Lonchura striata: one gene and its partners. The protein of the gene in region 3 interacts with the protein of the main gene of each other region in a pairwise test. Links are inferred from orthologs where the notes say so. Each region holds a gene or a part of one and is shown on either strand. Other genes may lie near its edges. The genes, in order: ankyrin repeat and SOCS box protein 13, RPLP1 and NUDT3.

The links.
Region 1: the proteins of NUDT3 (region 3) and ankyrin repeat and SOCS box protein 13 interact in a two-hybrid assay, tested with the Homo sapiens proteins (2 studies listed by BioGRID and IntAct). The link is inferred for Lonchura striata from reciprocal best matches to the Homo sapiens genes NUDT3 and ASB13.
Region 2: the proteins of NUDT3 (region 3) and RPLP1 interact in a two-hybrid assay, tested with the Homo sapiens proteins (2 studies listed by BioGRID and IntAct). The link is inferred for Lonchura striata from reciprocal best matches to the Homo sapiens genes NUDT3 and RPLP1.

The regions. Positions count from the first base shown.
Region 1 is NC_134607.1:71,793,473-71,801,076, forward strand, and holds the start of ankyrin repeat and SOCS box protein 13, read right to left. Parts: upstream 3,035-7,604; 5' UTR 3,011-3,034; coding exon 2,968-3,010; intron 1-2,967. UniProt on the Homo sapiens protein: May be a substrate-recognition component of a SCF-like ECS (Elongin-Cullin-SOCS-box protein) E3 ubiquitin-protein ligase complex which mediates the ubiquitination and subsequent proteasomal degradation of target proteins.
Region 2 is NC_134603.1:5,028,236-5,034,762, reverse strand, and holds RPLP1 (large ribosomal subunit protein P1), read left to right. Parts: upstream 1-4,677; 5' UTR 4,678-4,805; coding exon 4,806-4,877; intron 4,878-4,971; coding exon 4,972-5,046; intron 5,047-5,151; coding exon 5,152-5,269; intron 5,270-5,890; coding exon 5,891-5,970; 3' UTR 5,971-6,011; downstream 6,012-6,527. UniProt on the Homo sapiens protein: Plays an important role in the elongation step of protein synthesis.
Region 3 is NC_134632.1:4,258,450-4,265,591, forward strand, and holds the start of NUDT3 (diphosphoinositol polyphosphate phosphohydrolase 1), read right to left. Parts: upstream 3,067-7,142; 5' UTR 3,019-3,066; coding exon 2,920-3,018; intron 1-2,919. Other genes in the region: RPS10 (small ribosomal subunit protein eS10), read right to left, coding at 4,392-4,433, 4,805-4,860, 5,178-5,255. UniProt on the Homo sapiens protein: Cleaves a beta-phosphate from the diphosphate groups in PP-InsP5 (diphosphoinositol pentakisphosphate) and [PP]2-InsP4 (bisdiphosphoinositol tetrakisphosphate), suggesting that it may play a role in signal transduction.

The DNA of each region.
Region 1 (7,604 bases), on a different chromosome or scaffold from region 3:
TAAGCGTGCCACGGGTGCAAAAGTAAAATTTTAGGATTCTAGATTAGGGGACAAGCTGGAGGAAATTGGGTGTGCCTTGTCCTTTTTCTCCTTCTTCATGCCCTCCATGTCTCACTGTGGTGTTGGCATTTTTCTGTTGGTTCAGGCTGGGGACACACTGTCCAACGGAGGTGACAGATATTGGCACGTTCTTGTAAATGCAGCCCAGGGAGTTTCTGGTATTGAATGTTTGTCACATCCCACTGAGGGCAGAGCCCCACACGCTGCCCTGCAGGACAGAGCTGGGCAGGGCAGCAGAACATGTGAGAGATCAACAGAATAAACAACCTGGGAACCAGCACAAACAGTTTATAACTTCTGCTTTGGCAGCAGAGCTAAAAAACAGAAACTTTCTACAATTTTGGAATCATCAACACCTCAGATTCCGACAGTATTTGGCACCCCACGGGATGGGATTTCTCAGGAGGGTGGGGAGGAGATGGGGTGGGATTCACATGTGGGAAGATGTGGTTGTCACACCCTTGGAATTGTCCCAGGATGGGTTTTGGAGAGGGTCTGGAGCAAGCTGGGCTGGTGGAAGGTGATGGAACAAGGGGAGTTTCCAACCCTTCCTGCCCAAATTGTTCCATGGAGATGTGTATTCCTGGAGGAGCACGGAAAGGGTTGGGATCAAGGGAAAAAAACTCAGCCCAACTCAAAAAATCTCTTCCCAAATTCTGGATTCTTGCAGGAACATGAGCTGGCTGGATGGAAGGAGAGCTGGGATCAAAGGAAAACTCAGCCCAACTCAAAAAATCCCTTCCCAAACTTCGGATTCCTGCAGGAACATGGAAAAAGAGCTGGGATTAAGGAAAAGCTCAGTCCAATTCAAAAATCCCTTCCCAAACTCTGGATTCCTAAAGGAACATGGAAAAAGAGCTGGGATCAAGGGAAAACTCAGTCCAATTCAAAAATCCCTTCCCAAACTCTGGATTCCTAAAGGAACATGGAAAAAGAGCTGGGATCAAGGGAAAACTCAGCCCAACTCAAAAATCTCTCAGGATTCCTGCAGGAACATGGGCTGGCTGGATGGAAGGAGAGCTGGGATCAAAGGAAAACTCGGCCCAACTCAAAAAATCCATTCCCAAACTCTGGATTCCTAAAAGAACATGGAAAAAGAGCTGGGATCAAGGGAAAATGGACAGCGTCACCTCCTCTCAGGTGGGCTTTGCTTTGGAGGTGGCCCTGAGCAAAAACAGCTCCCTGTGCTCACGCAGCCCCTCCTTAAAAAAAAAAAAGGGAATTCTGAGTATCAACATTTCCACAGGGTTTTTTTCCCTTGGTTTGGAAGATCCTCATTTCTTTGCCAGTATCCCCGGGCAGGGTGGATTTCCTTGCCTGGAGCTCCTCCTGGTTTTTGTGTCGGGAGAAGCAAATCCAAATGAGGATGGAGAGCTGGAGAGGGACTGGGGACAAGGATGGAGGGACAGGACCCAGGGAATGGCTCCCACTGCCAGAGGGCAGCCAGGGATGGGATTTGGGAATGAGGAATTCCTGGCTGGGCTGGGATTGCCAGAGCAGCTGGGGCTGCCCCTGGGTCCCTGGAATGTCCCAGGAAGGACTGGAGCAGCCTGAGATCATGGCAGGTGTCCCTGGAATGAGCTTTGAGGTCCCTTCCCACCCAAACTGGTCCAGGATTCTGGGATTTGGGACACTCAGGATCCATCCCGAGGGATTTTTATGGAAAATGGGGATAGAAAAGAGAGGGAAAGGGAAGGGAGACCCTTCATGGTTTCTGAGATTCCAAGTGAAGCCCCTGGGTCCATGAATTTCTTGGAGAGGAGATGGATCCAGTGTCAGGCTGGGAGAGCTGGGAATGTTCCCCTGGAGAAGGGAAGGATCCAGGGAGAGCTTCCAGCACATTCCAGGGCCTGAAGGGGCTCCAGGAGAGCTGAAATTTGGGAAAAGCCTGGAGGGACAGGACCCAGGGAATGGCTCCCACTGCCAGAGGGCAGCCAGGGATGGGATTTGGGAATGAGGAATTCCTGGCTGGGCTGGGATTGCCAGGGCAGCTGGGGCTGCCCCTGGATCCCTGGAATGTCCAAGGAAAGGCTGGAGCAGCCTGGGATGGTGGGAGGTGTCCCTGCCCCGGGAATCGGGACACAAGCCCTGGGAGTGACCCAGGATTTGGGCACCCGCGGCTCCAAGGTGGGAACGTCCACAAAACAGCGCGGGAGGGGAATTCGGGAAGAACACGGATCGTTCCCCGGGAATTCGGGAGGAACACGGATCGCTCCCGGGAATTCGGGAAGAACACGGATCGTTCCCGGGAATTCGGGAGGAACACGGATCGTTCCCGGGAATTAGGGGGGAACACGGATCGTTCCCGGGAATTAGGGGGGAACACGGATCGCTCCCCGGGAATTCGGGAAGAACACGGATCGCTCCCGGGAATTTGGGAAGAACACGGATCGCTCCCCGGGAATTCGGGAGGAACACGGATCGTTCCCCGGGAATTCGGGAGGAACAGGATCGCTCCCCGGGAATTCGGGAGGAACACGGATCGCTCCCTGGGAATTAGGGGGGAACACGGATCGCTCCCCGGGAATTCGGGAGGAGCAAGGATCGCTCCCGGTGTCCTGACACCCATCCTCTTAACCCTTTCCTTGCCCCTCGCTCCCTCGCCCAGCAGCCCCCAAATCCCACCCTTTAACCCCAAACCGCTCCTTAACCCCCATAGTCACACTTTAACCCCCAAACCCCTCTTTAGCACCCAAACCCACGCTTTAAACGCCAAGAGCCATCCGTAAACCTCCACACCAGTCCGCGCCACCGCAACCCACGCTGCAAGCGCCCAACTCATGGCGCAAGCCCCAAAGCCCCTCCCGCACGCCGCCAGGAGCCGGCGCGGGCGCGGCTCCGGGTTCTCCCGGAGCGGCCCCGGTCGCAGCTCGCTCCCCGGCGGGTCCCAGGCCCGAGCACACGCACCGATGTCGCCCCGCGCGGAGCCGCCGCCGCCCGGGCTCTCCATGGCCCGGCCCGCCGGGCCCGCCGCGCGGCACGACGGGAGTTGTAGTGCGGGGAGAGAGCGGGGAGCGCGGCGCGGGGCGCCCGCCGCGCGGCACGACGGGAGTTGTAGTGCGGGGAGAGAGCGGGGAGCGCGGCGCGGGGCGCCCGCCGCGCGGCACGACGGGAGTTGTAGTGCGGGGAGAGAGCGGGGAGCGCGGCGCGGGGCGCCCGCCGCGCGGCACGATGGGAGTTGTAGTGCGGGGACAGCGCGGGGAATGGGGAATGGGAATGGGGAATGGGGAACGGGGAAGTGGGATGGGGAACGGGGGAACTGGGATGGGGAATGGGGAATAGGATGGGATGAGGAATGGGGATGGGGATGGGGATGGGGATGGGGATGGGAATGGGAATGGAAATGGGATGGGGAATGGGAATGGGGAATGGGAGAACTGGGATGGGGAATGGGGATGGGGAATTGGGAATGGGGGAATGGGGAATTGGGAATGGGGAATGGGGATGGGGAATGGGGAATGGGGATGGGGAATGGGAATGGGGAATGGGGAATGGGGAATGGGGAATGGGGATGGGGAATGGGGAATGGGGAATGGGGATGGGGAATGGGGATGGGGAATGGGGGAACTGGGATGGGGAATGGGGAATGGGGAATGGGGAATGGGGAATGGGGAATGGGGATGGGGAATGGGAATGGGGAATGGGGGAACTGGGATGGGGAATGGGAATGGGGAATGGGAATGGGGAATGGGAATGGGGAATGGGGGAACTGGGATGGGGAATGGGAATGGGAATGGAAATGGGAATGGAAATGGGAATGGGGAATGGGGATGGGGAATGGGGGAACTGGGATGGGGAACGGGGAATTGGAATGGGGAATGGGGAAACTGGGATGGGGAATGGGGAAACTGGGATGGGGAACAGGGAATGGGGAAACTGGGATGGGGAATGGGGATGGGGAATTGGGAATGGGGGAATGGGGAATGGGGATGGGGATGGGGATGGGGATGGGGATGGGGAATGGGGGAACTGGGATGGGGAATGGGCAATGGGGATGGGGAACTGGGATGGGGAATGGGGAATGGGGATGGAATGGGGAATGCGGAATGGGGATGGAATGGGGAATGGGATGGGGAATGTGGGACTGGGATGGGGAATGGGGAACTGGGATGGGGTCTGAGGGTTACTGGGAGCACTGGGATGGGGTGCAGGGCTTACTGGGAGCACTGGGATGGGGTCTGAGGGTTACTGGGAGCACTGGGATGGGGTGCAGGGCTTACTGGGAGCACTGGGATGGGGTCTGAGGGTTACTGGGAGCACTGGGATGGGGTCTGAGGGTTACTGGGAGCACTGGGATGGGGTGCAGGGGTTACTCCTACTTCAGGGAGAGCTGTTCCTCCAAGCAGAAATCCCATTTTTACATTATTCCTTCATTTTTACATTATTTTTAGGAAATTTAATTTTTTTAGCTGGGAAAAAAATTAAAATTCTATCACTTCTATTCTGCATTGACTTCACTTCTGACCATAAAAATCCACCCTGTCCTTGCTCCCTGCTGGGATGGAAAAATCCATGTTTTTCTCCCAAAAATTACCAATCTGGGAGAAAATATCAATTTTGGAGGAAATACCAATTTGCCCCTGCAGGAGGATAAAATTCCATAAATCCATTCTGGTTTGAAATGACAGAGCTGGAAAATCCATGGCAATAATTCCATAAAAACTGCAATTGTTCCATCCTGGGAGGATTTTTCCAGGTTCAAAAAAAAAAAAAAAAAAGATATTTTTCCCAAAGAATTTATGGCTGCTCCATGCCTGGAATTGCTGGATGGGGGCTTGGAGGAATTTGGGATAGTGAAGTGTCCCTGCCAATGGAATTGGAGGAATTTTAGGTGCTTTCCCACCCAAAAAATTCCATGATTCCAAGATTTTTGCCAGGATCAAACCTTTTGGAGAGAGCTCGTATCTGCTGGCTCCAGCTGTACCTGGTAAAAAGAGCGATAATCAATGTCAATAATTAACATTTCAGCTCAATATTTAAAAAATCTTCAGGTTTATATTGCAAATTTATCGGCTAAGCAGCACCAGGAATTATTTTTTGAAGAGTGAAGCGACGAAATGAATAATTTTTGTGAAAAATAAGAGGGTGGGGAATGGCAGAGACTTGAAAAAAATGAGAATTTTCTGCCTTCCTTGCCACCTTTGAGTCATTTCCTGAGGATTCTCTGTGGTTTAACAGTTGCACCATTAAATTCAAATAAACTGGGTTTTACTTCAAGCCTTTTGTCAGGGCTGGTTTAACTTTAGGTCTGACTTTAAAAAGCCACCAGGACTATTTGAAATGTTTGACATCACCACCCCAGCAGCACCGTGGGTTCCAGAGGCGCAAAACGCCAAAATTGCTCAAAAAGAAAACCAAAACCAAGAATAAATCAAAGCAAAAAGCAAAAATCTTAACTGGGTCGGGAGCACTGCATGAAAAGCCCACGAAAAAGCATCAAAAATTCTCTTTCCTGGGGTATTTTTGATGGTTTTCACCTTTTTTTTTTGGGACAGGCGTGACAAAATTAAAAGGGAAATAAAATAAATGCCATTTCATGGGGTATTTTTGATGATTTTCAGCATTTTTTTGGACAGAAGTGACAAAATTAAAGGAGAAATAAAATAAAATTGGGCAAAATTTGCTGTGAGATCCTAAGAGATTAAAGGAGTTTTTCTTGAGTGAAGAACGGGGCAAGGGGGTGACACCTTGCTGTGGAATAAAGTAAAAATTTGGGTTTAAAAGTCCAGATTTTGCTTTTTTTTTTTCCCTTTTTATTTTCTGTTCTTTTTTTTGTTTTGTTTTGTTTTGTTGGTTTTTTTGGGTTTTTTTGGGGTTTTTTTGTTTTGTTTTTGTTTTGTTTTGTTTAGTTGGTTTTTTTGGGGTTTTTTGGGGGTTTTTTGTTTTGTTTTTGTTTTGTTGGGTTTTTTGTTGGGGTTTTTTTTTTTTTTTTTTTTTTTTTTGTTTTGTTTTGTTTTGATTTGTTTTGGTTTGGTTTTTTGGTTTTGGTTTTGTTTTTGTTTTTTGGTTTGCCACCCCTTTAGAGAAAACAGAGCAGAAATGGAGGGGGCAGCAAATTTCTGCCCACTCGAGCTGAAACCCGTGGATTTTTTCGGAGAAAATCGGAAAAATCGCTGCCTTGTTGTCAACATGGGCTTGAAAAATTAATGGAAAAGACAGGTCCCTTCCCACCCAAACGATCATAAGGAAATAGGAGAAAACTCAGCATTTCCATGATGAGCAAGCCAGAGAAATGCAGCTTTTCCATGAATTTCTGGGATTGACCCAAAAGGATCCTCTCTGCTGTTTGCAGGTTGTGTTCTCCCCCGGACTGCCCCACAAAGTCAATAATAAATAGAATTATTTGCTTTACCCTGATGTCACCAGGAGCTGCTGCTCTCACCTCCCGCTTGAGTCATTGCGCTGCCACTCTTCACGGAGCCGAATAATTCGATTTTTTTATTCTGAATAAAAATAAAACGCCAAACGGTTTCTTTAAAATCACATCGAAGCGCACCAGAAAACTTTGTGAGTCAAGAAGCCAAAATAAATCCACGCCAGGAACCGGGTCCCCACCACGGTGACATCATGGGCTTGGCTTGTCACCACCCAAAAAAATCACGAGGCACCAAAAAGAGAAACTTTTCCCCACCAGGAGTAGCTCCCAAGACTGAATTACTTGGATTTCTTTGGGCACAGGGCTGGGGGTTTTCCCCTCTTAAAGGGCAGCCAGGAAGGAATTTCTGTCTCAGCAAGAATTCCAGGTTTTTATCCGCCAGAAGGAGCTAGAAAAATCCCATGGATCTGGCAAATTTGCTGTGATAAACGCTAGAAAGAAATAATAATATGTTAATAATAATAAATAATTAAGCCTAAAAATGGTCATCGGCAAATTTGCTGTGATAAACGCTAGAAATAAATAATAATATGCTGATAATAATAAATAATTAAGCCTAAAAATGGTCATCGGCAAATTTGCTGTGATAAACGCTAGAAATAAATAATAATATGCTGATAATAATAAATAATTAAGCCTAAAAATGGTCATCGGCATCATCAATTTGCTGTGATAAATGCTATAAATAAATAAGAATACATAAATAATAATTTATAATTAAGCCTAAAAATGGTCATCAGCATCATCAATTGCTGCAATAAATGCTATAAATAAATAATAATATGTTAATAATAATAAATAGTTAAGCCAAAAAATGGTCATCAGCAAATTTGCTGCGATAAATGCTATAAATAAATAATAATATGCTAATAATAATAAATAGTTAAGCCTAAAAATGGTCATCGGCAAATTTGCTGCGATAAATGCTATAAATAAAAAATAATATGTTAATAATAATAAATAATTAAGCCAAAAAATGGTCATCGGCATCATCAATTTGCTGTGATAAATGCTATAAAGAAATAAGAATACATAAATAATAATATATAATTAAGCCTAAAAATGGTCATCGGCATCATCAATTTGCTGCGATAAATGCTATAAATAAATAATAATATGCTAATAATAGTAAATAATTAAGCCTAAAAATGGTCATTGGCATTATCAA
Region 2 (6,527 bases), on a different chromosome or scaffold from region 3:
CCATTTCACTGAAAAAAGGCTTCAGTTCTTGAAAAGGTTTGTTCTGAAAGAGAGTTTTGAAAGCTCTGTAACAGCATTTTTTTAAGCATGGTCTTTATATGCTGTATTAACAATTATACGGTAGTGTAAGAACAGCTTCTTAAACACTTAAAATTAGGTTTTTCAAAAGAAAAAAAATTAGTAACTGCTGGGCACAATACCTTTCTTAACTGCTGAATTTCAAGATGACATTTCCCAGAACTGATATCTGTCACAGTAGAAATTATTAATTTTGGAAAAAAGTATGTACTAATAATTCTGAAGCAAAGATGGTATTTAGGAGCAGCATTTTAAAAATCATTTATAGCAGTGGCAGCAATCTAGGGAAAATATTTTATACACAAATAGGCTAGTGACAAATGATACAGCTTTTCTTTTTATGAGAAAACATAACCTAAGTAACAACCATTCCCATTTTAAATTTAATTAATTTTAAAACCCCAGAGTTTATAAATGTCTGACAGTCATTGTTTGCAATGATACAGTAGCAAAAATTTTTACTCAGAGCTGAAAGATGTGAATTTTATTCTTGACTTGGAAGGGATTTAAGCTCTTGTTTGTCATCTCTCAACTAGCCTAACTTTTAAGATGTTATCCTGCAGTACATGCATTGGACCTGGCACATATTCTGCATTCTGCTTTACATAAGAATTTAAAATCAGAGCCAAAGTGAAGAAGTTCATGGCTCTATGCACTAAAGTGTTCAAATTTTACAAACACTTTGAGGGTTCTGGCCCCCTGCTCAGGAACTGTTTGTTATTTTAACAATTAGATATTAAACCACAATTAATCCATGGTGGAGGGACCAAAACATGATTTTTGTCTTTCTATAGATAACTCTCCCAACTACCAAGTTACAAAACTGCATTTATTTTGTCAAATGAATTGCAATAATAATTTATATTTTAAAAACCCAAAACAAAACAACTAATTATCATTAGATTACTAACTTCAGTTCACTCAAAAAAACAATTTTTTCCAGCTGATCAGGGCCAACAATGCAACAATTCAACTTGATGGAAAAGATGCAGCACCACCTATTGGGGATGTGTTACACTCACTGGTTGTTACAGTTTCAAGAAATACCAGAGTTTTGTTCTTCATTGTAATGACCTTGTTACAGTGGAAAAAACAAACAAACAAAAAACCACCAAAAACAACAACAACAACAACAAAAAACCCACCTCAACCAAAAAACAAAAAAATCCAACTAGGAACAAAAAAGACTTTCCAGAAAGAAGATAAAAGAAGTAAATACTGTACCTGAGACTGTTCACCAGGAAAAAAAGCATGTTCCTAAGTGCCACATCTACATGTCTTTTAAATACCTCCAAGGCTCAATCCCTTCACTGGGAAGCTTGTTCCAATGCTTGACCATCCTTTCCATGCAGAAATTTTTCTTAATAGTGAATTTAAACTTCCCTGAGTACAACTTGAGCACAACTTGAAGTAATTTCCTCTCATCCTATCATCATTACCTGGCAGAAGACACCAAGCCCCACCTTCAGCCTCCTGTCAGGCAGCTCCTTCCCTCCCCAGCTTTGTTCCTTTTCTCCAGACAGGTTCCAATGTCCTTCCTGTAGTAAAGAACCCGAATCTCAGCACAGGACTCGAGGTGTGGCCTCCCCAGTGCTGACTACGGGGGGACAATCACTGCCCTGGCCCTGTGGCCACGCTTTGCCTTTGGTCACTGAGAAACTGCAGCCTTAGAATGGGACAGAGGCAGCTTGAGGAGAGAAGAATCACCTCAGGAAGGTTATGAGCAGCAACCAAATAGTGTAGCAAGGACAAGAACAGAGAAAGGAACAATCAACTTCAAGTCTCCTTGGTAAAGACCTCTTGAGTCTGACCACTTTGATGACCACCAGTGGCCTTGGTCATGTTCTAACTCTCAGCATCAGCTCTGTAGTGTTCACACAGCTAATTCAGGGTGAGGTGCTAAGGGCTGACTGCTTTTTGTATGATAATGACAGAGCTTGCTGATGTTTTCATCTTCCTTGGCAATGCACAGGCACATCCAGCGAGATCTCTGCCACTGCTCCTCACCATCCATCCCCCAAGTGTCAAATATCCACCTCAGGGAAGTTTCACAGCCAAGTTACTTGTTTTGTTTATCCTGAAGACAGCCCTGTGTGATCCTGGACCAGCTTGCTAGTACACAGCTGTAGCATCATCCTAAACCTCACAGCCTGGAAATAACTCACCACCCTGGAATAGCAGAATACACAGAAGAATGTAAGGGGGTTTGCTGGGGTTTTTTAAAGCCTCCATCTATTTGCTGTAGATTTATCCAGAACAGATTTCTGCTCCAAATGCATGGTGATGTGTTAGACAGTAAAAGTACAGACAGTTACAGGATCAGAGGTGAAAAGCACACACCACTGCAAATTTCTAGACCCTTTATCATCCAGCTTTATTAATTAAGCTTTATTAACCAGCAGTCCCGATCACATACCTAGGCTTCCAAAAGCTTTAGGAAGCAGCAAAACTGGGGTTTCTTTTGGCTTTTTGCTTTCTTTTACATAGTGATTTGTTTTCATCAGAACTTTATTCTGGGCTCCTACAGAGCAGCTTTATCAGTGTCACTCAATAGATGCAGCAAGACAGCCATGAAGCAAGGATGCAGGCAAATCTCATTTAATTAACATCTTTGCCAACCAAAACCTAAGTTTATGTGAATGTCACATTTAAATTTTAGGTCTTCATATTTTATTTTTTAACAACCCATCAGAATTTCTAATAATTTTTAGCTTAAGGACTGTTGTAGCAGAACTGTTACAAAACCATGTCTATTAAGCATATAATTTTGTTGACTGCCTGTACACTTCCAGTACTCATCTCCCAGGCCAGCAAAATTTGCAAGTTTATTTGATTGAAAAGGATCTTATATCTCTCTTGCTACTTTCCAGTCAGATCATCATCTCATGGACCACTGGGACAGCTCTGAGGGCTTTTGCACAGGAGACCTTGGCAGCCCCGGAGTGAGGCTCACACAAGTCCCTGTGAAATCCCATCCTCAAGCACCCAGCAATGACAGAAGTTCCTGGATATTTAATCCCACTGGAAAAGTGCATTTATTTGCTGCTTTGAGTTAGGTATAAAAATGTAGACAATTGTCCTGTGCTTTGAATAGGAAGTTTAAGTAAATGCTTAAATTCAGAGCTGTTGGCCCCACAAATAGGAATAAGCACCCACAAATTATGCACTGCATCACTGTGCATTTATCATCTCCAGCAGTGAGTAGTGTTAGATTTTTGTTTAGTGAAATTCTCAGTTGTTTGTGATCCTTAGGAAAGGATGGAGGTAATGTCAAGAGGTAAAGTCCCTCTCAGTTTTCACTTGTAATTGCCTAATAAATCCTGAGATTTCTATAAAGGAGCACTACAAAAGCAGGCTGGATACACTTTGCTGGTAACAGTTGTCATTTTAGGATTCTAAAATTTCAAGCTTGAAAGGGACCTTGAAAGGTCAGATAGCCCAGCCCCACTGCAATGCACAGGAATGCACCTGATCCCCCTGTTCATGTCTTTGATGAAGACTTTAAATCATAATGGTGCCAAACAGACGTGAGAGACACATCTGATCTTCATCTGGACATTGAGTCAATCACTGCACTGTGGATGTGACCATCTAGCCAATTCCTTATCCACCAAACAGTCCATCCATAAAATTAATCTCTCTCCAATTAGACATAAGAATGTTGTGTGGGACTGTGTTAAAGGCTTTATAGAAGTCCAGAGAGGTGACATCCATAGCCCTTCCCTTGTCCACTCCATGTGGTCACTCCATCATGGAAGGTCCCTTGGCTGATCAGGCAGGACTTGACCTTGATGGAGCCGTGGATGTCCTAAATCACCTCCCTGTCCTCCAGGAGTGCCCTGGCACAGCTTCCAGGAAATCTGTTCCATTCCCTGCCCAGCCACTGAGGTGAGGCTCATCAATTGCACATCTGTCAAGAAGACAAAAAAGAAAACACGGAGAACATTCATTTTTCACAATCCGATTATGCCTTTGGAGCAAAACGCTGGAATTTGCTCAGGCTCTCCAGAATCCCAGAACGATGAGGTTGGAAGGGACCACAGTGGGGTCACCTGGTGCCACCCCCCTGCTCCAGCAGGGCCATCCCAGAGCACAGCGCTGGAATCTCTCCATCGAGGGAGACCCCCACCCTCCCCGGCCCATCTGTTCAGTGCTCGGTCACTGCACAGCAAAGCTCCTGTCATGCTCGGGTGGAGAAAATCAGGCCACACAGTTCTGCACCTTTTCTTCCCGTTTCATTACACTCAGCAAATGGAGTGTTTTAGCGAGGCAGTAACACCTGAAATAGTTAATGGGGGAGGAGGGCTTGGGTCCTTCAAGCTGTGCCAGGGAGGTTTGGTTTGGATCCCGGGAAAACGGCCTCAGCCAGGGCAGTGGCGGAGTCCGCACCCCTGCAGGGACACAAAAGCCGCGGGGAAGTGGCCCTTGGGGGCACGGGCGGTGCTGGCCGTGCTGGGGGAGCAGCAGCCCCGCTGCCCAGCGCCGCTCCCGGTTTTCCGGGCGGATCATTCCCGGTGAGGGACCGGGAAGGGGGAGGGCGGGAGCGCGCGTGCGCACCTCCCATGCGCGGCGGGCCGCGGGTGACGTCACAGATGACGCAACACGCACCGCCATTATAAACCCGCGCCGCGGCGCCCGGCCCCTTTCGCTCCGCGGAGGCCCAAGGTGCTGAGTCCTTCGTACGAAGCTAAGGCCGAACCACCCGGCGACCAGCACCGCGCCCCGCCATGGCCTCCGTCTCCGAGCTCGCCTGCATCTACTCCGCCCTCATCCTGCACGACGACGAGGTCACCGTGACGGTGAGTGCGGCCGCACAAGATGGCGGCGGCCGCGCGGCATGGCCGCCTGAGGGGCCGCGCCGGGCGGGCTCTGAGCGCCGCTCTCTTCTTGCAGGAGGACAAGATCAACGCGCTCATCAAGGCAGCCGGAGTGAACGTGGAGCCTTTCTGGCCGGGGCTTTTCGCCAAGGTGGGCGAGAGGGGCCGCGGGCCGGGCAGAGATGGCGTGTGGGCTCCGCACCGCACCTCCCGCCCATGGTAACCGGGCTTCGCTGCCGCGTGTCGTTCTCCGCAGGCGCTGGCGAACATTGACATCGGGAGCCTGATCTGTAACGTGGGAGCGGGCGGCGGAGGGGCTCCGGCTGCCGCCGCTCCCGCGGGCGGTGCCGCGCCCGCCGGCGGAGCCGCCCCCGGTAAGTGGCGGCCGCGTCCGACCGGACCTGGGAACGTGGATCCGTGGATCCGTGGAGTGGCTTGAGTTGGGAGGGTCTTTAAGGCCATCTCTTCCCACTCTCCTGCCCTGGGCAGGGACACCGTCGTCTAGACTCGGCTGCTCAGAGGCCCATCCCACGCTTGCAGGGATGGGGCAGCCGCAGCTTTGCAAGCACCGGCTACAGGAGCTGCTTGCATGTGGTTGGTGCCATGCAGTGTGTGAGTGAGTGTTCTTGAGCAAAGCACGCCCTCCCCTTGAGAAAGGCTGGCGTTGCACATGAAGTCAGTGTACAGGATTAGTGTTCCCTCAGAATTAAATTGCTTTTCCTGTATGTCATCAGGATCATACAGAGCATCAGCATCTCCTCTCCCAAAGTTTTTCAGTTTTGATAGAAATGAACTCTGAAGTCACAAAACCACTCTTCCTACTAGTACAAACACTATTCTATTTTATATTCACTATTCTTGCTGCTGGCTTAGGTTGTTAGGACTGCTCAGGTCTTCATGCTTGATGTTAGTCATTGCATGTGACACCTGTTGTGACAAGTGACTTCTGTGAGATGATAAATTGAAAGATAAATCCTGTCTCATTTCCTTTCCAGCTGAGGAGAAGAAAGAAGAGGAGAAGAAGGAAGAATCAGAGGAATCTGATGATGACATGGGCTTTGGTCTTTTTGACTAATTAATTTTGTACCAGCCTGTAATAAAGAACATCTGCTTGTACTCATGTCTCTCAGGTGGATGTTTGTGGAGGGTGGAGAATGGCCAAGTTACCTGCACCTCCTTAAACTTCTGTCATGAGTGCTCAGCTGGGGCTTTACAACTTCCCCTCTCAGCTTTTTGGTGTTCCACAAGCTCTAAAAGGCACCCACAGTCCCTGAACAGAGGGAGGAATGAAATCCCGGTGAGCAGAGGGTGTGGTGGTGACAGCCTGGAGCTGTAGGATGGGATCCTGTTCTGCAGAAGGGCTGGGCTGGTGCTGCAGCCTCTGGTGCTGTGACACCCCTGGTTACAGCAGCAGTGCAGCTCCCATGGCACCCGTGCAGGGGCAGCTGTGGCACAGCAAAGCCGAAGGCTTTTCATCGTGGGGAAAAAGGCTGCAGTTCTCGGGTAGAAGGCTGAGGTTGTGTAAGGTACAGAATAGATTTACCTGGCCAGAAAACTGGTGTAAAGGGTGCTTGTGGGAGGTGATGTAACTGCACTGGAAAGGGGCTACTTAAAAGGCATGGGTTTTATAAA
Region 3 (7,142 bases):
CGAAAGTAACCTCTGTAAGAGTAAACAGAATTCTCTTGTTTCTTCTTGTCCATTGACAAACTTTTTAAATTCAAGAAATAATGCGGGGTTAAAAACAGGAAAAAATGGGATTTCTGAGTTCATAGCAGGAAATGAAGAAGAAAGGCAAGACCAAAGTTCTACTATTTCTTAAGCACTTAAAAGGAACAGTAATGAGAAACAGCCAGTCCTAGGAAAAATCCTACTTTAATATAGAAAGTTTAATTTATTTATCAAAACATTCTTATTTTCTTCTCTCTTTTCAAACACTAAGCTTTTAATAGCTCTTTAATGTACATACTTTGGCTCTGACTCTTTCTCCCCTCCCTGGAGAGACCTTTTAAAGAGATCTCAATTTCCACTTAAATAGAAGCAATCAATAATAAAATACGTCAGTAACATTAGAAAGTATTATTGTCCAAGAGCAAACCAAGAAATCTTTCACAGCCATTTTATATTCTGTGCTTAAATGTGTACAGATGACACCTTTCTTGCTATCAAAATTAAGTGCAAGTCGCAGTGAGTGGACACCAGGCAGCTTCTTTCAAAGTTTATTTAAAAACCAACAAATGAGAATTAACCCAGGAAATAATTAGAAAGGAAAATTAATAAGGTGTCCTGCTTGCTGATTTCACTCATTGACACAAGTTTAACTTCAACACCTTTTGACCAAGGCCAAGTGCAGGATCTGAGCACAGAGTCCATCCCAGTGGGGTTAATTCTGTGGGATTGGTAAGAACTTTCCCAGATGTATTTGTGACAAGCCCTCTTCCTGGGCAGCTCCTGCAGCAGGGCTGTAACAGGTGGGAGCACAGGAGGCACTTTCAGCTCAGGGTTCAACTCCCAGCTACCACACACAGCCCTTCCCTGCCTCATTCCTCACCAGCAGCACACATAGCACACCCTGAGGAAACCAGCCCAGCCAGGAGTGCAGCCACTGCTCCCTCCCCGAGCTGTCCCAGGGCAGCAGAGCCACTGCCAGCTGTCACTGCGAGCTCAGGGACGAGGCCACCAACAGCGACCACAGGGACAGCACAACGCTCACCCAGAGCCTGCCCTGCTCACAGAAACCTCCCACGGGCCCCCAGGAATGAGCCAGCACAACCAGCACAGGGAGCCAGCTCCCTCAAACCCTGCCTGAAACCAGACACAGATCGTTCTACTCCAGCCCTTACCTAGAAACTAGAGCCTGAAGGAGTTTAAATTCAACCCACTGCAGGTGGAGACCACAGCGAAGACACAAAAGGGGTTTTGAATCTCAGCCTTACACCAACCTGACAGCTGAGCCTGCTGAAGCATCCATCCCACGCCAGCGTGCCTTGGGAACGAGCTCACTTTCCTCCTTGGAGCTCTGAGCACTGTGGCACTGCCACACAGCCTGGTGTCCCCAGCACAGTGAGAGCTCTGTCACCTGCCATAACACACCTCGGTGTCCCCAGCATCATGAGGGCTCTGTCACCTGCCATAACACACCTGGGTGTCCCCAGCACAGTGAGGGCTCTGTCACCTGCCATAGCACACCTGGGTGTCCCCAGCACAGTGAGGGCTCTGTCACCTGCCATAACACACCTCGGTGTCCCCAGCACAGTGAGGGCTCTGTCACCTGCCATAACACACCTCGGTGTCCCCAGCACCATGAGGGCTCTGTCACCTGCCATAACACACCTCGGTGTCCCCAGCATCATGAGGGCTCTGTCACCTGCCATAGCACACCTGGGTGTCCCCAGCACCACAAGGGTTCTGTCACCAGCTCCCACGGGCCGGAGGGATCAGCTGGAGCTTGGGCAACACTGCAGCCTGAGGTGTGTTAAAATAAAACTCACAACCGGTCACACGCTGAGTGCCTCAGGCACCTGTTAGAAGTACTTTTCTACCCTAAACCACACTGCATTCACACATGGCCAAGCCTCCACCGTCTGGAGAAGAGCCTGCAAACTGCCCCACTAATTGTGTACAATTCATCAGGGCACTCCAACGCCCTGACCCACCCGTGCTGAGCACCCCCAGCATCACCACACAAAAACAATGATGGTCCTCTTCATGGTCAGTCCATAAATTTCCTGGAAGTCCGTGGGAAGGATCAGCTACACTGAACACTACACCAAACACACTGCTGTCATTTCAGACCATTTCTGCTGAAATGCTGACACTCCTCATCACGCCAGCACAGCTACAAAGGGCTTGCAGTCTCCTTCACGTTAAATAATAACTGGATGTATGCTAATTGCCTTTCCTCCAGTGAACTGTCTGCATTCCCTCCCGATTTCCTGTAGCTACAAATATGATAATCAGGAGAACAAAGACTTTAGCACAGCCACTCGGGCACAGCAAATGCAGCGGAGTGTGTACGCCTGACTCCAGCAGCAGCAGCAGCAGAAGGCAGACCTGCAACCTCGCTGCTCGGAGCACCCCGAGCCCACCTTCAGGAGCTGTCAACAAAAATTGGTGTAAAACCGCACACGGGAGCGAAGTTTCTCACTGGAACTTCCCGGACAATGCAGCCCCTTAGCAACGCGGCCGTTCTCAAATCAACCGATCCACCTTTATTTCCCACTTCCTCCCAAACTCTCCGGACAGCAACTTCTGGCACTCCATCAGTCCCCTTTTATCCCAGTTTCTTTTTATAAATCCAAGGTCAGGTTTCCTCTGCCATCTCATGTGATGCACTGGACTGAAGTTCTGCCAGCGTGGTCGGTCCCCACGCTGCCAAACCCCCTCCCGAGCTCCCCTCCGCCCGTCCTGCCGCCCACCGGGCATCTCCAGCGGACACAGCAACCAAGCGGGCAGCGCCAGCTCCGCCAGCGACGCCGAACGACGCCTATTAAAAATAAAACCCCGTTGCACCGAGTCCCCCCCACCCCGGGGCGGCTCGGGGGTCCCGGGCCCGGCCTCGCCCCTCACCTCCTCCTCGCTCTCGCTGCGGAAGCACAGGCAGGCCGCCCGCTTCTTATAGCCATCCCCGTCGTAGGTGCGCGTCTGGTTGGACTTGAGCTTCATCATCCTCCGCTCCGGGGGCGGCGGGGCCGGAGGACGCGCGGCCCGGAGGGCGGGGGCGGGCGGGACCCACCGGGCGGCGAAGGACGGGGGGGGGCGCGGGGGGACCGCCTGCCCGCGACAGTCTCTCTCTGGTTCTCGCTTCGTGGGTCTCGCTACGCGCTGCCGCCCTTCGCCCGCCTCACCCCTGCCCTCGCTGCCGGCCGCGCCGCCGCCACCGCCCGCGCTCCGGCCACCGCCGACGACGACCGCGCCGCCATCTTGGGGCTCGCTACGCAAACGGCGTAGCGCCGCCGGGCGGGGAGGCGGCGCTGCCCCTGCGGCCTCACGGAGCGCCAAGTGCGCAGCGCGGCTTCCAGAATCGCTCCCCCCGCGCTGGCGGCGCCGCCACGCCCCCGCCCCGGCTCGCGCGCTCTACGCCATCGGCGCGGGCCGCGTTCGGGAATAGGGCGGGCGGCGTAGAGCGGCGGCGGCGGGCGCTCGGCCTTACGCGAACGGCGCAAGGGGCCGGGCCGGCCGCGCGCACGTGGCCCCGCGGTGACAGCGGCTCCGCGGGGACGGCAGTGCCCGCCCTGCGCCGCGCGGGGGCGCTGCGGCAGCGCCGGCACCGCGCCGGTCCCGGCCCCGGTGACACCGCGGGGCCGCGTCCATCCCCGGTGTCCATCCCCCCGGTGACACCGCGGGGCCGCGTCCATCCCCGGTGTCCATCCCCCCGGTGACACCGCGGGGCCGCGTCCATCCCCCCCGGTAACACCGCGGGGCCGTGTCCATCCCCGGTGACACCGCGGGGCCGCGTCCATCCCCGGTGCCATTCTCCGTGTGTCCATTCCCCCTCCGGTGACACCCGGCTGGGTGTCCATTCCCCTGGGTGACACGCCAGGTCAGTGTCCGTGTGCCCGGTGACACCGCGGCCATCACGGCCCGTTACCGGTTGTCACCGGCTGCCCAGCGACACTTGGCGGCAGGCGGCGGCCACTGCGCCACTCGCCCCCCGTCGGTCCTGCCGCCATCCCGCCCCCGGTCCCCACAAGGGACAGCCCAGGTGACAGCGCAGGGTGCGGACACGCGGGCCGTGTCCCCATCAGAGGGACACGGGCTGGCACAGCTGAGTTTTCCAGCTCAGCCCCAGCCCAGCCCTGCTGCATCGCCCCGGGCAGATGGGAAATGCTCCTGCATTCCTCCAGGACTCACTTCCACACCCCTGAACTTCCTTCAGCAGAACAGAACCTGCATTTAGTCACTCCCAAAGTGCTGTCCCAGATGCCAAAGCTCTGAGTCACGCTGTGCTTCGTGAGTTCTGTTTGTGTGCTTCAGACACAGGCATGAACCCAGTGGCATTTTCACCTCTTTTATTATACACAAAACATGAGCACGAAGTTCTACTGCGGGGGCTGACCACGTCCACGACCGAATCCACCTCTCTGCAACAGCAAAAGGAGTGTTAGAAATCATTGTGTCAAGCAGTGACAAACATCATCAAAGCTCTGATGGCACAGGTCAGCCAGGCGAGTGCCACCAACATCAACACATTCCAGCCAGCTCTGTGGATCAAACCTGAAATACTTTCATTTTTGAGGTATAAAACCATGGATCTCCAGAGAGCTCAGCCTGCTCTCAAACTTGTCACTGGCCTCTGTCCCACCACATCCTTTCCCTACAGTGAGCAAGCTGCATCTGAAGGGTGACAGTTTCCAGCCCCTCTGACACCCTCAGAATCCTACAGGCAGGACCTTCCAGCTTCTCCCACCAAAACCTTCAAAAAAGGAAGCAAAGTTCAAATGCAAACACTCACAAACTGGAATTCTGTGGCTGCTCCAGCACCAGCCTCAGCCTTCTTGTCAGCACCAGCTGCAGAAAGAGAAGCAGTCAGTACCCACAGAATCCCCTGCCTGGAAGCAAAGTTTTAACCATCCCACAGAACTAAAACTGGGGCTAAACACAGCAAAGCAACAGCTGTAAATGAGCACGTTTGAGAATTACTGAGCCAACCCCAGGGCAAACCCCACAGCTCAGCTGGACAAAACTCCAGCACTCCTCCCATCCACGCTCACATACAGACCCATAGCTATGCCAAGAGCCTCATCTTCCTCTTTTCTCCTTGAGAGGAGCCCCAGAGCTGGACAGTTGTCCCCGAGGGGGCAGGGGGGCACAGGGGGCACACTCACGTGGCACGGCGCTGCGGCGGTACGTGTCGCGGTCAGCCTCACCCCGCGTCAGCCGCGCCGGGCGCTCGCCCTCCAGACCTGCAACACAGAGCAGAGCCTCAAACGCTGCTCAGCCAGGCCACAAACACAAAGCTCCTGCACCCCAAGGTGCAGAACAGCACCGGGTCTGCCAGCAGTGCTGCACCTGGAGCAGTTCGGGGAGAATAAACCTAAGGGAAGCAGTGATTTAGTAAGGGAAACTTCACTTTAAGAGTGAAATCTGCTCAGCTTGGGGCAGGGTGGAAGTTAAATAATGTGAGAAGTGGGTTTACAGCATCATCCCAATTGTCTTCTGGACATCAAACTAGTGCTTTGTTGATAAAAATCCCAGAATACTGGGAGTCTGCCATGGCTGATGTTGGTGCACAGCTGATCCCAAACTGCAGGACAGAATTCGGACCCCAGCCTGAACCAGCCACACTGTCAGTACCCCAAATTCCTCATGTCAGTAAAAGCAGATTATCTGTAGAATGTCAGATTAATAGCAGACAAAACTGCTGCAGGAACACCCAGTTGTGGTGGGACCACCACCTCTCAGGGACTGGGCTGTGTGCCTGGAGCCCAGGCTGGGCAGAGCCCACCCAGGCAGGACCAAGGATGCACCCCAGCATCCTCCTGAACATCCACATGCATTGGTATGGCCATAAAAATCCCAGTTCTTGCAATAATTATTTTACTACACCACCTCTGTGGCTCTCAGACTGCTGCTGCCTCATCCACAGTAAAAAAAGAGCACCAAGTGCAGCCCTTCCAAATATCCCTGCCCAGAGGGGGCTGAGGAGGGTTCCAGCACCAGGACAATCCTGTGACACCACACACAGCTCCTCCTGCACAAACCCCAGCCAGAAGCTGCCAGTCCTCCCTCCCTCCCAGCAGGGATGCAGCTCCTTTAAGCTCACTGGATAAACGCAGCATCTAAAGAACAAATCTTGGAACACCCAAGCAACTCAGAGATCAAAGAAAGCATCGTATTCCCAGTTTCTCTGCAATTCCTTCCTTTGAAGCAGGTGATGCTCCCATTTTGTTTGGCTCAGACACAAACTGCAGCAGCTGGGGGTGAACTCCCAGCGCTCCTTGGCCCCCAAAGTGGCTCAGAAGCAAAAAAGCACAACCCATGTGATCCCCCAGAGCAGAGTCTGCTGCACCCCCTGCACTTGGGGTGTGAAAAGCCACCAAGGGAAAATCAGAGCTGCAAGCCCCACACACAGAATCACAGAGCAGCTGGGGCTGATCTGGAGCTCACCCTCTTCAAGCCCTCTCAAGGCAGGGTCACTCAGAGCAGTGGCACAAGAACGTGTCCAGGTGGGTCTGGAATGTGCCCAGAGAGGGAGACCACCACACCCCCAGCTGCTCCAGTGGGAAGCTCTTCCTCATGCTGAGGTGGAACTTGCTGTATTTTAGTTTCTGGTCACTGCTCCTTGTCCTGCCACTGGGCAGCGCTGAAGGGAGTCTGGCAGCATCCTCTGGTACATGCCCTGGGCAAATCTGTGGGGATTTGTCTCCTCTCCTCCAGACTAACAAGGCCCAGCTCCCTCTGTCTCTCCTCACAGAGGTGCTCCAAACCCCTCAGCATTTTTGTGAGCTCTGCTGCTCCTCCACCACGAGTTTGCTGTTCACCTTAAACAAGGACCTGGTTGTATTCCTGTGGGAAATGGCTTTTTCCCCACCAGAGACCCCTGTAGCTGTAACCATGTTAGTTTAACCTTTCCTTCCTTTCTTGACCTAATTGGCTGAGAGCCAATTATATTTTCATGAGCAGGAGTCTAGACAAGGCTCTGTTCTCCCTTGTTCTCCCTTTTTCTCCCCTGGAAACTTTTGAGAATAAAAGTCTAGGACTACATTGGGGGTTAGAGCTTCTTTTGGAATCTTTTACCTTGCCCCTGAAATATTCCCCCAAAGCCTTCTCAGATCTGGGCTGTCTAGCAA